Saccharomyces cerevisiae S288C: one gene and its partners. Changing the gene in region 1 together with any one later gene gives a genetic interaction. Each region holds a gene or a part of one and is shown on either strand. Other genes may lie near its edges.

What was found.
Region 2: mutations in FMT1 (region 1) and PDE2 together harm fitness more than expected from each alone (negative genetic interaction), as found in Saccharomyces cerevisiae (3 studies listed by BioGRID).
Region 3: mutations in FMT1 (region 1) and SNZ1 together harm fitness less than expected from each alone (positive genetic interaction), as found in Saccharomyces cerevisiae (2 studies listed by BioGRID).
Region 4: mutations in FMT1 (region 1) and IPK1 together harm fitness more than expected from each alone (negative genetic interaction), as found in Saccharomyces cerevisiae (3 studies listed by BioGRID).

Annotation. Positions count from the first base shown.
Region 1 is NC_001134.8:200,507-203,761, reverse strand, and holds FMT1 (methionyl-tRNA formyltransferase), read right to left. Parts: upstream 1,707-3,255; coding exon 501-1,706; downstream 1-500. Other genes in the region: bifunctional glycerol-3-phosphate/glycerone-phosphate O-acyltransferase SCT1, read right to left, coding at 1-224; RRN6 (Rrn6p), read left to right, coding at 2,014-3,255. UniProt on the Saccharomyces cerevisiae protein: Formylates methionyl-tRNA in mitochondria and the cytoplasm. Responsible for the formylation of the 8 N-terminally formylated (Nt-formylated) mitochondrial matrix proteins that are encoded by mitochondrial DNA.
Region 2 is NC_001147.6:1,012,343-1,016,859, reverse strand, and holds PDE2 (3',5'-cyclic-nucleotide phosphodiesterase PDE2), read left to right. Parts: upstream 1-2,038; coding exon 2,039-3,619; downstream 3,620-4,517. Other genes in the region: PRT1 (translation initiation factor eIF3 core subunit b), read left to right, coding at 1-1,499; VTS1 (Vts1p), read right to left, coding at 4,100-4,517. UniProt on the Saccharomyces cerevisiae protein: Controls the level of cAMP in yeast cells, together with the low-affinity cAMP phosphodiesterase (PDE1).
Region 3 is NC_001145.3:456,301-460,282, reverse strand, and holds SNZ1 (pyridoxine biosynthesis protein SNZ1), read right to left. Parts: upstream 1,876-3,982; coding exon 982-1,875; downstream 1-981. Other genes in the region: putative GTPase MTG1, read left to right, coding at 1-859; SNO1 (putative pyridoxal 5'-phosphate synthase), read left to right, coding at 2,324-2,998; CTF13 (Ctf13p), read right to left, coding at 3,022-3,982. UniProt on the Saccharomyces cerevisiae protein: Catalyzes the formation of pyridoxal 5'-phosphate from ribose 5-phosphate (RBP), glyceraldehyde 3-phosphate (G3P) and ammonia. The ammonia is provided by a SNO isoform.
Region 4 is NC_001136.10:1,092,241-1,095,452, forward strand, and holds IPK1 (inositol pentakisphosphate 2-kinase), read right to left. Parts: upstream 1,347-3,212; coding exon 501-1,346; downstream 1-500. Other genes in the region: RAD34 (Rad34p), read right to left, coding at 1-271; OMS1 (putative RNA methyltransferase), read left to right, coding at 1,523-2,938. UniProt on the Saccharomyces cerevisiae protein: Has kinase activity and phosphorylates inositol-1,3,4,5,6-pentakisphosphate (Ins(1,3,4,5,6)P5) to produce 1,2,3,4,5,6-hexakisphosphate (InsP6), also known as phytate.

The DNA of each region.
Region 1 (3,255 bases):
AAACTGCCCCGGCCTCTGATTTCTCTAAAGAAGCAGTGGAAGATGTTGTACAACAGCCATGTGGCGATGGAGTAAAGTATCTTCTTGGTAGCGCTAGGCTCTTGGTAGATGTATGCCTGATCAGCCGACGTCTTGACGCTTTTGGCCTCGATGGAACTGTAATTCGTAGTTTTCTGTGTGCTCTTGGAAGAGGCAAATTTCTCCGTGAGTTTTGGTGCAGGCATTTTTTTTTACCCCGATGTAAACGCCCCTGTGCTCTTTTTACTATATATTTAATTCCGGGCTTCCTACACTTAATTCACTCTGTTATGAACTACAAGCCATTACTAACATCAATCTTTCCGAATCATAAATAAACTGCAACTGGGAAAGAAGGCGGGCCTACTTTTCTTTTTCTTCATAGCGCGTAGGGCTTGGCAGCCATAGTTGTTGAGAGACCGATGGATGAGGGATTGAAAGAAGGGAGAAGAAGAATACTAAAAGAGGAATGTAGAGCCGGGTTACAGGAAAACTAACTTTTCACTCAGGGCGCCGCATCTTTTCCGCAGGCGCGCCATGAACTGGCCAGCACGTTCTACGGCGAAACCTTCGAACTGGAGGCGGCTCACACATAGTAGTAAGTTGCCGCGACAGGTGACCAAAATACAGTCTTTAATATCATCATATTTGAACATGCCCGGTTTACTGCCATTATCTAGACGTGCGTCTCTCATCACTTTACACTCATGAAACAATATTCGTTTTAATACTGAATTTTGAGCGTCCTTTCTTGCCGCTGTCGCTTCTTTGAACGCGTGCAGAGGACCGAGCGTTTCGAGTTTGTTAAGTAGTTCGGCGGCAGAATCGCGCGCCCAATGAATGCGTTTATCTTCTGTTGTTATACGGTGGGCGTAACTGGGTTTGTAAGCTGTTGGCGCTTGCACACGGTTCTGTGGTAGATATAACCTCTCACGAAGCGTTTGGCCCAAAAGTTGGGCGCCAAGGGCGCCCAACTGGTCCATCAGTATGGCAGTCCTCCGAGGCAGGCCCTCAGAATTAAAATCTGCCGTCGAATCATTGACTCTCCCTTTTGACAGCATTGTTGCGATCGCCAGTGGCTCCGTCTGCGCTACAATTGCACCATGGTCAAACCGATCCGGATGCAGTGTCTGTATAGTTACACCGGTGTAAGTGTCACCCTCGAGCAGAGCTCGCTGGATAGGTGCACTGCCTTTATGTCTGGGAAGTAGCGAAGGATGGACGTTTAGCGCCAATGGCACCGCGCGGATCAAGTCACCCGGAATGAGCTTCCCAAAAGAAACCGCAATGATCGCGTTGAACGGAGCACCGGAGCCGTCGTTCTCCGGATTTCCTTGGCGACTGGGTGTCAGTTTGCTTAGCGCCAACATTTCCTGCTTGGTGTCGCATGTAATTGGGCGTGGCAATTGAAGCTTCTCTGCCATATCGAAGATCGGCGGGTATTTCAAAATAGACTTCTGTCTACCGCACCACTTCGGCGACCTAGTTACTACTTGAATATTGTCCACTATACCACAGCTTCCATTATTTTGACGCAACTCATTGAGTGCTTGCAATGAGAAATTACTGAAAGTGTCGCTACCAAAGAAAAGCACATTCAAGGGCTGCACTGGTGGAGAAGCATTGTTTGAAATATATCTGCATGTGAATAGGAGGCGTGTAGGTGTTATTCTTCTCATTTTAACCATTTGTTTGATACGCCGTTTTCAATCTTCTCACTATGAGGTGCCTAGGTCCCCTTCCTTTTTTTTCTTACCTCTCTTTTTACGTTAATGAGAAAAGCGCTTACTCCTCTCCATAATAGCAGGTACAGCTTTTTTTGCTTTTTTCTTAATGGACGCTTCTTCCATTTGATATAAATATGGGTTACCCTGTGGGCATACGATAATTTTTATTCTCTCGATTAAGAAACCGAGATGAGCTTTCATATTAGTTTGGTAATGATATTGATGTGGCAAGTTGAAGTAAAGAGAGAAGGCGTTCTATGGGCTGAGCATGAGTGAGGGACAAATTCCAAGCTCAGATGTGTTAGGCTCGCAATTGGGTGTTGGTGTACAAGGCGCCAGTCTTTACTGTCCGCAAGAAAATTACACTACGAAGAAGCAAGAAAAGCCACAATGGCTAAGACCAGTAGATGATACATTGGCCGAGGATGCACTAGACCTTCATATAGTGGTCAAAAGTCTGCTTTGTGATACTGCCATAAGATATATTTCCGACGACAAGGTTTTGCAAGAATCAGATGCCGACGATGATCTCATAACTAGCGATATTGATGAAGATACGGACAATCAGGGGGATACATCTATAGTGGTCAATCCAGTGATACCCGTGGTACCGAAAGATGTCCATTTTTTTAAGAAAGTTGACGTTGGTAATGATTCTATGTTTGGTGTGAACTGCGATACGCCAGTTTCATTTCAAGATTACATTCCTTCAGATTTGCTGCGCAACTTAGATGATACATTACAAGAAAGTACTAACTCTTCGAGGCCGATGCAAGACGCCTTCTTTTGGGATCCTACTGTGGCTAATCGACTGGACTCTCAATATATTCAGACAGCATCAGATTTAAGAAATTATAGAGACGGAACCGAAATCATAGCATATGCCTCGGGTAAAACAGGCTCAGTCCTAAATATAGCAGTTCTGACACGACAAAATACATTGCATTTAAACCGACATAACAATGTAACGAGTATCGAATTGCATTCACCTATCAAGAGTATTAAGATACCGGGGGCCTCTGAGTCCATCGGGCGGAGATCAAACCTGGTGGGCATAATCACCGAAAATTCTTTCCAAATCTTTAGAATTGAAAGTGTCCACTCAAGATCATGTGATGTCATGGTTAGTAGTTCAGAACCACTGTATTTTGTTGAAATAGACGACCTTCAGGTGGTAGATTTTGCATTCAATCCTTGGGACTTACAACAATTCGCAATCATTGATATAAAAGGTAACTGGAGTATCGGGAGGATACCAAAGAATTTCAATAATAATAACAAAAGGAAACTACAGTTAATAGATAACCTCCACGGTACGATTTTTGATCCAGAAGAATTATCGTCATGGAAAAGAATAGAATGGTTTTCACACTTCCAAAAAATACTGGTCTTTGATAGGTCCAAAATGATTGAGATCGACTTTATGAACAATTGGCAAACGGAAGTAGTACAAGCGAAAGCATGGTCAAACATACGTGATTATAAGCGGATAGATGATAAAAATGGTATT
Region 2 (4,517 bases), on another chromosome or scaffold:
GAAGATTCTATCATCCAGATGTAAGAAACTCTTCCGTCTCTCCGAATGAAAAGTACCTGGTCACTTTCTCCACGGAACCAATCATTGTAGAAGAAGATAACGAATTCTCTCCATTTACCAAGAAAAATGAGGGTCATCAATTATGCATCTGGGACATTGCTTCTGGTCTGTTGATGGCAACTTTCCCAGTGATAAAGAGCCCATATCTGAAATGGCCTTTAGTTAGATGGTCTTATAATGATAAATATTGTGCTCGTATGGTTGGAGACAGTTTAATAGTTCACGATGCTACTAAAAACTTCATGCCATTAGAAGCTAAGGCTTTGAAGCCTTCTGGTATTAGAGATTTCTCATTTGCTCCAGAAGGTGTTAAATTACAACCATTCAGAAACGGTGACGAGCCTTCTGTTTTATTGGCTTATTGGACTCCTGAGACTAATAATTCCGCTTGTACTGCTACCATTGCTGAAGTTCCTCGCGGTAGAGTGCTAAAAACCGTTAACTTAGTTCAAGTCTCCAACGTAACTCTGCACTGGCAAAACCAAGCTGAGTTCCTGTGCTTCAATGTCGAACGTCACACAAAGTCTGGTAAGACTCAATTCAGTAATCTACAAATTTGTAGGTTGACTGAAAGAGATATACCAGTTGAAAAGGTTGAATTGAAAGATAGTGTCTTTGAATTCGGTTGGGAACCCCACGGAAATAGATTTGTTACAATTTCTGTTCATGAAGTAGCTGATATGAATTATGCTATCCCAGCAAATACAATCAGATTTTACGCTCCAGAAACTAAAGAAAAGACTGACGTAATTAAAAGATGGAGCTTGGTCAAAGAAATTCCAAAAACTTTTGCCAACACTGTTTCTTGGTCTCCAGCGGGTAGATTTGTGGTTGTAGGTGCTTTAGTGGGTCCAAACATGCGTAGATCAGACCTACAATTTTACGATATGGACTATCCAGGTGAAAAGAATATTAATGACAATAATGATGTTTCAGCTTCTTTGAAAGATGTTGCTCATCCTACCTACTCTGCGGCTACTAATATCACTTGGGATCCATCTGGTAGATACGTTACCGCATGGTCAAGTTCTTTGAAACACAAGGTGGAGCATGGTTACAAAATTTTCAATATTGCTGGTAACTTAGTTAAAGAAGACATCATTGCTGGCTTCAAGAACTTTGCCTGGAGACCAAGGCCAGCTTCCATTTTGTCTAACGCCGAAAGGAAAAAGGTTAGGAAAAACTTGAGGGAATGGTCTGCCCAATTCGAAGAGCAAGATGCAATGGAAGCTGACACCGCCATGAGAGATTTGATTCTACACCAACGTGAATTATTGAAGCAATGGACCGAATATAGAGAAAAAATTGGCCAAGAAATGGAAAAATCTATGAATTTCAAAATCTTTGACGTTCAACCAGAAGATGCCAGCGATGACTTTACCACCATCGAAGAGATAGTTGAAGAAGTTTTGGAAGAAACAAAGGAAAAGGTCGAATAAATTTCATGAACTTACGGGCTTGTATGTAAACTAACAACAATATCTAGTATAAGTATGAGAATTAGTCTAATATTCATAAATACTACAATAGGCTCTATTATCTTTGTAATCTGCAGGGGTCGCTCTCCTCGTACAAAATTATAAAAGGGTCCTGCGTCCTTTTCTAGTTGCACTTTTCTTTTTTTGTTCTCCGAGAATTTCTTTTTACTGGGCACAATTTTTCCTCTTTTCTTTTTGTTTTAGGCATTATAAAGAAGAAAAATTGGCTTAGAGAGAATATACTTGCAAATTGAAAACTATAGTCACTGTGAGAGATTGGACTAAAAAGCGCAAATTTGAGATAAAGTGGGATCTTCCTGATATTAGCTGTCGTTACTGGTTTTAGCACGAGTTACCGACTATTTTGCGTTTTTCTTTTAAATTATTTTGTTGTCCCTCTTTATCTTTTGCACTGACGCTTTATTAGCCACTAATTAGAGTATCCAGACATTCTTTTTGAGATCACTACTACTTAATTGAAGAAAACATAACCTATTGATATGTCCACCCTTTTTCTGATTGGAATACACGAGATTGAGAAATCTCAAACAATTGTACAGAATGAACACTATTTTGATAGAGTGATTGAGCTTCAAGATTTGGATTCTCTGATGGTAGCATTGTATAAGGACAGAGTTTCGCCTTTTCCAAACGTCCATAACTTTGAAACGGGCGTATCTATAGTTCTTTATGACCCTTCAAAATTTCAATTATCTGTGCGACAATTGGATGTTCTATTCAAGCGATTTTTCCCATCTTTCAATATTTCTGCGATAGATCATACACGAGAGGAAAACCTGCAACGTCTTGAATGTGTTGAGCGTGAAAATAGCATCTGTCGTAATAGAATAACGAGAATTAACCACTGGATGTATCACCATCATGATGATACTCCAGACGGTATTAACAAAAACAGCTATGGTACTGTAAATGGGAATTCTGTCCCCACTCAAGCATGTGAAGCAAACATTTACACTTTATTATTGCATTTGAATGATTCCAAGGCACAACATTTACGAAAGGCATCAGTGCCAAGGCTAATTCGCAACATCGAGTTTATGTCTTTTTTGTCAGATCCAATAGAAAAAATTTCTCAAGAGGGATCACATTATTGGAACATTCTATCAACTTGGGACTTTTGTGCTTTATCATTAAGCACTCAAGAATTGATTTGGTGCGGGTTCACGCTTATCAAAAAGTTATCTAAGGATGCAAAAGTACTCATTGCAGATAATAAGTTACTGCTACTACTATTTACTTTAGAATCATCCTATCATCAAGTTAACAAATTTCACAATTTTAGGCATGCCATCGATGTCATGCAAGCCACATGGCGATTGTGTACATATCTTCTTAAAGATAATCCTGTACAAACATTACTGTTGTGTATGGCTGCCATAGGTCATGATGTCGGTCATCCTGGGACTAACAATCAACTATTGTGCAACTGTGAATCAGAGGTTGCTCAAAATTTCAAAAATGTCTCTATCTTGGAGAATTTTCACAGGGAATTATTTCAACAATTGCTATCAGAGCATTGGCCTCAATTGCTATCTATCTCCAAAAAAAAATTTGATTTTATTTCCGAGGCTATTCTGGCCACAGATATGGCATTGCATTCTCAGTATGAGGATAGATTAATGCATGAAAACCCAATGAAACAAATCACTTTGATATCTCTAATTATTAAAGCTGCAGACATCTCTAATGTGACGAGAACCTTGTCAATATCAGCACGTTGGGCATACCTCATTACTCTCGAATTTAATGATTGCGCTCTTTTGGAAACATTTCATAAAGCTCACCGCCCAGAACAAGACTGTTTTGGCGATTCATACAAGAATGTTGATTCTCCGAAAGAAGATTTGGAATCAATTCAAAATATTTTGGTGAACGTAACAGACCCTGATGATATTATCAAAGACCATCCGCATATTCCAAACGGTCAAATATTTTTCATTAATACGTTTGCTGAAGTATTTTTCAACGCATTAAGTCAAAAATTCTCAGGATTAAAATTTTTAAGCGATAATGTCAAAATCAATAAAGAATACTGGATGAAACACAAGAAACCACAATAGCAAGAATATCAAAATTTCTTGTACCATTCATTGTATAAACATATAAATATATACATTTACTACTAGTATATTTCCTTTTGTGAAGTATTTGTGCTAAAATTCATTACCCATTTTATTTTTTTTTCAAATATGCGTTCTTCCTTTAATATTGTATAATAATAACCCAGTTGATTATGGCTATTGTCTGTTTTAAGTGATATATATATATATATATAGATACATACATTAAATTTATTTTTCTTTGATTAAATTAATGTTTTTTAGTATAGTGATACATATTTCCCGAGTTAAAAGTTAAGTAAATAGTTTTATGCCATTAAACGGTGCAAAAACAGGTGTAATCTAAAATATTAAACTCCATAAAAGAAAACGTTAAAATTACAAAATAAATGAAATATGTTCCCTGTGTTGGTATATGCAAAGTAAATAAAAATTAAATCTTTATGCAACGTCAAGACAATCAACTTTATTATGCCAGATTTAATAAGCAGATCTATCAATTAAATCACGTTCTTTGTAATCAATAACGATTCCAAAAGCCTTCAACAATTTTCTCCTTGCACCCAAGGCAAGAACGCCTTTTTTTTCTAAAGTCTCGTCATCTAAGTAAATCAATTCGATCCACGGGGTTCCGCTTAAGGCATCTGAATACTTGTGTAGTCTTAACGATTTTAACCACATGGGTATATTTTTTAGTAGCTTGGGGTCTGTCAAACTCTTTGGATTCATCGAAGAGTTACTCGATAAAGGAGTGTTTCCGTTAGATGATGTAGATGTCGATGTGGCACTTGTAGGACCAGCATTAGGATGCGTAATGGTATTATTGAACACGTTCTGGTTGGACTTATTCAAATCAGTTCCTGATGGTCTTGAAGTATTCGAAAAATATGAGGTGGTA
Region 3 (3,982 bases), on another chromosome or scaffold:
GATGAAATTAGTGGTATACACTAGAAAGGATCTTATGCCCGGCAATAAGCCATATATAGGAAAGTTAAAGAATTGGCATGAAGAGCTGGGAGAAAAGTTTATTTTACTGGATTGCCGAAACAAAACTGACGTCAGGAATCTACTAAAAATACTAGAATGGCAAAATTACGAACTAGAAACAAATGGCGGATATCTACCTATGGGATACCGAGCATTGATTACTGGCATGCCAAATGTTGGAAAATCTACTTTAATAAATAGCTTGAGGACAATTTTTCACAATCAAGTGAATATGGGAAGAAAATTTAAGAAAGTAGCCAAAACTGGTGCAGAAGCTGGTGTTACTAGAGCCACAAGCGAGGTTATTAGAGTAACTTCACGGAATACGGAATCAAGAAATGAAATATACTTGATAGATACTCCAGGAATCGGTGTTCCCGGTCGCGTTTCAGATCATAATAGAATGCTAGGACTGGCGTTGTGTGGTAGTGTTAAAAATAACCTTGTAGATCCAATATTTCAAGCGGATTACCTTTTATACCTAATGAACTTGCAAAATTTGAACGATGGAAGAACAGAGCTTTACCCTGGAAGCACCAATTCTCCCACAAATGATATATATGATGTTTTAAGAAGGCTTCAAGTGAATAAAAGCCAAAATGAAAAATCAACGGCTATCGAGTGGACTAACAAATGGAGGTTGCATGGAAAGGGTATCATATTTGACCCTGAGGTACTGTTGAATAATGACGAGTTTTCTTATAAAAACTATGTAAATGATCAATTGGAAAAGTTAGGAGATCTTTCGTATGAGGGATTGTCTAACAAACTAAAAGGGAACCCCAATCAAGTATTCTAGTAAATAATATCCAGCATACATAAGCTTATCTAATAATTAGATCATTTTACAATGTGTACCGAGTAATACAAAGTTGAGGGGGGAAAAAGTGTTATAATGCTCAAAATACCTGTTCAAAGAAATCACCACCCAATTTCGGAAAGTCTTACTCCATTGGAAGCATGACTAATAGATTCGATTGATACACCACCCATTAACTCTCCTAAGTCACTAGATACTTCCAACAATTTGCTGGGATTGTCAAAGTGAGTGGTAGCCTCTACTACTGCAGTGGCCAACCTTACAGGATTAGATGATTTAAAAATTCCTGAGCCAACAAACACACCATCACAACCCAACTGCATTAACAATGCGGCATCGGCTGGCGTTGCTACACCACCTGCAGCAAAATTTACTACTGGCAACTTACCTTTTTCTAAAACATCTTTCAGCAAAGAAACTGGTACCCTCATTTCCTCAGCAACTTTTGCAATGTCATCTTCGCTCTTCAATTGTTGGCACGCCTTTATCTCCTCTGTAATTCTCCTTATATGCTTGACGGCTTCAGAGACATCGCCCGTTCCAGCTTCACCCTTGGTACGAATCATAGCGGCGCCTTCATTAATTCTTCTCAAAGCTTCACCTAAGTCTTTAGCGCCACAAACAAATGGAACTTTGAATTTGTCCTTTTCAATGTGGTGAGTCCAATCAGCAGGAGTCAAGACTTCACTTTCGTCAATATAGTCAACTTCCAATGCCTCAATAATTTGAGCTTCAACAAAATGGCCAATCCTTACCTTAGCCATGACGGGAATGGAAACGGAGTTCATGATGTCCTTAATCATCTTCGGATCTGACATGCGGCAAACCTTTCCTGACTTACGCATATCTGCTGGGATGGATTCTAATGCCATTACCGCACATGCACCAGATTTTTCAGCTATTTTTGCCTGCTCTGGAGTAACAACATCCATAATAACGCCACCTTTTAACATTTGGGCGAGACCACTCTTGATCTTAAAGTCTTCTCCAGTCATCGTGATAATTAACTGAATATTAGTACTGTGTATATTTGCTAGTCGTTCCTAAAGGTTTCTCCAACAATACCATAGACTTCGTCCATAGCTCTCAGCGTCCTCCTATTTATATCGAAAATGGTACTTCGCAGCCAGAATTACAGACGTAACTAACGGTGCGGCAGAGTGTGTCAGAGTCATGAAGAAATGGCGGCGCTACCTGAAAAGTAGTGAAAAAGCCCGGCTTTCAACCCTTACCCTTGTCGGCTGAGTCATTATGTCATGATGAGCTATTCCAACTAGTGCCATAAATTCCAACTGAGTCAGTAAACGGCATTTATCAGCAATAACTGGTCACGAACTCTTTGAATGTTTTATTCTTTCTTCCAAAAATCACGTTGATGCCACCAGGTTTTTTTTTCTTATTATTTCATTTCGTTAAATAGAAAGAAAAACCATATCTTAAAGTATGCACAAAACCCACAGTACAATGTCCGGAAAGTCGATGAAAGTAATTGGGGTTTTGGCGTTGCAAGGTGCCTTTTTGGAGCATACCAACCATTTAAAAAGGTGTTTGGCTGAAAACGACTACGGAATAAAGATAGAAATCAAAACTGTAAAAACTCCTGAGGATCTAGCCCAGTGCGACGCCTTAATTATTCCCGGAGGAGAATCTACGTCGATGTCCCTCATCGCTCAAAGAACAGGCTTATATCCTTGTTTATACGAATTTGTTCATAATCCGGAAAAGGTAGTTTGGGGTACTTGTGCTGGTCTCATCTTTTTAAGCGCGCAATTAGAAAACGAAAGTGCCCTAGTAAAGACTTTAGGTGTGTTGAAGGTCGACGTGAGAAGAAACGCATTTGGAAGACAAGCTCAATCTTTTACACAAAAGTGTGATTTTTCCAATTTCATACCTGGCTGTGATAATTTTCCTGCTACATTTATTCGCGCACCCGTGATCGAGAGAATTCTTGATCCTATCGCGGTTAAAAGTTTATATGAATTGCCAGTGAATGGAAAGGATGTGGTTGTAGCTGCAACGCAAAATCATAATATCCTTGTGACTTCTTTTCATCCAGAGCTTGCTGACAGTGATACAAGATTTCATGATTGGTTTATCAGACAGTTTGTTTCTAATTAAAATACCGCCGGTTTTCCACATTTTTATATTACCAAAACCTGAGAGATTTTTTCACATCGATAAATCTCTACTCGTTTACTATCGAACAATGCTCTAGGTACGATGATATTGTTAAAAACTTCAGATACATTTTGTAGCTTGATATGGTTCAAAGTCCGAAAAGATAGCCAAACTATTGCTTGACATCGAAGGTATGTTATTTGATTAATTTCACTTTTGTCAAGCTCTTTTATTCTTGTGTGTCGTAAATTAAAAAATTTTGTGAATTTACTATCATCTTCCTTTATGTACAACGATTTAAAAGTTCTCTTATCGACTTTTAGTTCCTTTAGTATATTTTCCTCGATGTTCCACCACTTGATTTTACTTACACGTTTCATTGTCAGAGATTTAAAATTTTTGGGAAAGACAATGCTATTCAGGTCGATGTAAGCTACTCTACTTAATACAAGCTTTTGCAAGTTGTCCCATCTTGTAAAGTCAGCTAGTCCGGTTCTGGAAATTTGATTCATGCGTGATAGGCGTATTTCATTTATCCTACGTTTCACTATGTAACTAATCGTTTTACCAGGATTGTCTCTGAACCCATGAAAATTTATTAGCAACTCATATAATTTCTCTCCTCTCACAGTGATCTTCCGCAGGCTCTTCATGGATTCCATACTTCTTATTGTTCTTATAACAGAAATACTTGTTAGTTGGTTGTGCGTTGCTCCCACATTGCCATTATCTGAATGTGATCTTTTGGATGCTGACCTTTTCTTGTTTTTAATTGTGGAGCTAGGTGAGGAGTTTTCGTCAGAATTAGCTCCACTAACATCAACATCTTTCTCTTCTCCTACTTCTTCATCTTGTCCAAATTGTACCTCCCCGATTGTTGCGAATAAATCTTTCTGTTCTAAAATTGATAAGCATTTGTCTACTAGTTGTGGAGTTAGATTATCAATGTTGAATTGAATATTACTTACATTAAGTAAGTCAAGC
Region 4 (3,212 bases), on another chromosome or scaffold:
AATTGAATGCTTTTTTATTATGCTTTCTTTTGTACTTGCTGACTTTCTCCCTGTCTCTGCGTATATTGCCAAATGTGACAGTTAAGCTTCCATCTAAAGAAACTTCTTCCCAATCAATATCACTTAAATCATCTTCTTCATCCTGGTAAAAACTATCAAAAGAATCATCTGTTTCTTCCTCCTCATAAAACGATACTTCTTTCTTCTCAATCTTTGAGTTTTTTCGATTGGCCTGATCATTTTGGCTTGATTCTAACAGTCTCTTGGCCATTACTTTTCTTCTCACTATTCCTTAAACTCATGTATGCTAGGTTTCAAGGTTTGACCCTTCGTTGAATATCGAATTTGGTCATTCACCCTGGCTTGTGTGTTTTCCGTTTTATTATTTACATTTTCCAGAGGGCCACTAGAAAAAAAAAATACTTATCTATCCATATATTTTACAAATGGTAATGTATGTGCATCTGCCAGTACCAAAGGTGGAAAGAAAAGTATACAGTTTATTTATTTGAAGTATGATAAATTTTTTGGCTTGATGTCAACTGGCTGTAAGTTTTTGTCCAATGGGTCCATTTTTCTTTTGGCTTTAGATCTACATCTATTATATTCACGTGCAACGCATTTTCAGCACTGTTCCATTCAATGAAACATGTCACGTCTCTGAGTGTCATGAGTAGCAGATGCTCATCGTTTACATCGTTGATTGATTTTATGTCACTTATTGGAGTTGTGTTCTTTGTAAGTTTTTTCTGTAAATCATAAAGGATCTTGAAAATGTTATTGTCATTGCGCAAGTACTCATGCATGGCATCTTTAAACTTAACCGGAAATATATTACATTCTCCAAATATTAATTCCAAGTGTGCTGGATTCATTAGTAATTGATTGTAACAGTACTTAGTGCCTCTACCCTTAAATGCATTATGAGTACAGTTCCTACAGTAATCTGTATCATAGTATAACCATTTAGGCTTCAATTCTAAAATAACTGTTTGCAGATTTTGTGAACAATAAGATTTTAAAAAGTGGTTATTTAATATCAGATTTGAGGTATTATTGGTGAGATTTTTAATTTTGATAACTTTGACTACCTTATCGTCTAAATTTAGAATAAAGTCACTGAGAATTGGCCTTATAGCTTCTATATCGACGTCAATCAGATACATCGGGCAAAGCAAGCCATGTAGAAGAGGTTCTACATAATCTTTAATATAACTGATGTTTTTGATTGTATAAGAATTATTTGATGATAACAGATCGGGCCAACGGATGCAGCATCGCCACAACCACGTAGGATCCCCATAATCAATCAGTATATTTGCCCCACCACGTCCGATGACTTGCATCGATCTTTCTTTTCAAAAAAGGAACTTATCTCTGACAATTTTCGACTGGTAGCATATCACGGTTCGAATTAATTTTGGAAACCCTAAATGGGACCGCATCAAAAAAGTACCTTGTGAAAATATCTTCGATAAATAAACCACTGAGGAACGAACAAGAAAACCATAAGTAAGTGAGGATGATCGTATTTCGTCGCTTTCCTACGTGCCTTTTACATCACATTCGACAACCGGCATCCAGGAGTCTTTTGTTGGAATCACAAAGGCGATCATTATCTTTTACATCTTATAAATATAACAGCAGCCACATTGATGATGATAAAAGTAAAAAAAAGCTTAAAAATGTTTTCCAAATGAATAGCAATAGAGTCATTCGTAAGCAAAAAACAAAAGAAGAATTGGCCAAAGAGAGGTTCGAAGAACAACTGAGGTCACCTAATAGATTTGTGAGGTGGGGAGCTATTGCGAGATCAGAAAAGTTTTCAAAGGGAATGACCAAGTACATGATCGGTGCTTATGTGATATTTTTAATCTATGGTCTCTTCTTTACCAAAAAACTGTTTGCGAAAGACAAAGAACTGGAAAGATTGTTGAAGAAACAAGAAGAAGGGAATGCCAATGAATACGAAGCATTAAGGATTAAAGAATTGAAAGGAAAACTAAGGAGGAGAGATGAATTGAAATTAGAAGAATACAAAAAAATGCAAGAAGAAGGCATTGAAAACTTCGATGATATTCGGGTACAGAATTTTGATCAAAACAAATTGAATGAACAAATATTGCCAGCAAGAGACACAACAAACTTTTACCAAGAAAAAGCTAACGAATATGATAAGGCAATTAATATGGAAGAGAGAGTAATATTTCTCGGTAAAAGAAGGAAATGGTTAATGAAACATTGTCAAGGGGATGTTTTGGAAGTTTCATGCGGTACAGGAAGAAATATCAAGTACCTTGATATGTCACGCATCAACTCTATAACATTCTTAGACTCTTCTGAAAATATGATGGAAATTACACATAAAAAATTCCGAGAAAAGTTTCCTAAGTATAAAAAAGTTGCATTTGTTGTTGGAAAGGCGGAAAATCTAGTAGACTTAGCAGAGAAAGGTAAGCCCTCTCTAGAGAATGAAAAGGAAAACCAAGTAAAATATGATACTATCGTGGAGGCGTTTGGTTTGTGTTCCCATGAAGATCCGGTTAAGGCACTTAATAATTTTGGCAAGTTATTAAAGCCAGATGGAAGAATTATTTTACTGGAACATGGTAGAGGTCAATACGATTTTATAAATAAGATATTAGACAACAGAGCTGAAAGAAGACTGAATACTTGGGGCTGTCGATGGAATCTCGACTTAGGCGAAGTGTTAGATGATTCTGACCTAGAATTGGTGGAAGAAAAACGGACTCACTTAGGCACTACTTGGTGTATCGTTGCAAAGAGAAAAGGTGATGTGAAAAAGAAAGACGAGCTTGGGTTTGTAGAAAAATACTTGCAATCAAGTATTAGAAAGAGAATGGAATCATTCGAAAAAAAAGACGATATGGCATCTAAAAAAGAACTTGAGCCAGTACCTCCTGTAAGTAAAAGTTAACATATTTATTCATACCAATGAATTTTATACAGGCTTAGAATCGTGTAAATATTTCAGTAAGCAAGTTAAAATGTGATCTAAAACCCCTTAGGTAGTTCTCCTTACTTCTAAAGTGATCATACTGACCATATGTGACGTAACGACGCTATTATTAACAATCCAAAAATTGCGTCACTGGGAAAAAATAAAAATGCGAACTCTGTGGATCGAACACAGGACCTCCAGATATCTTGACCAAAGTTTTTTCTTCAGTCTGGCGCTCTCCCAACTGAGC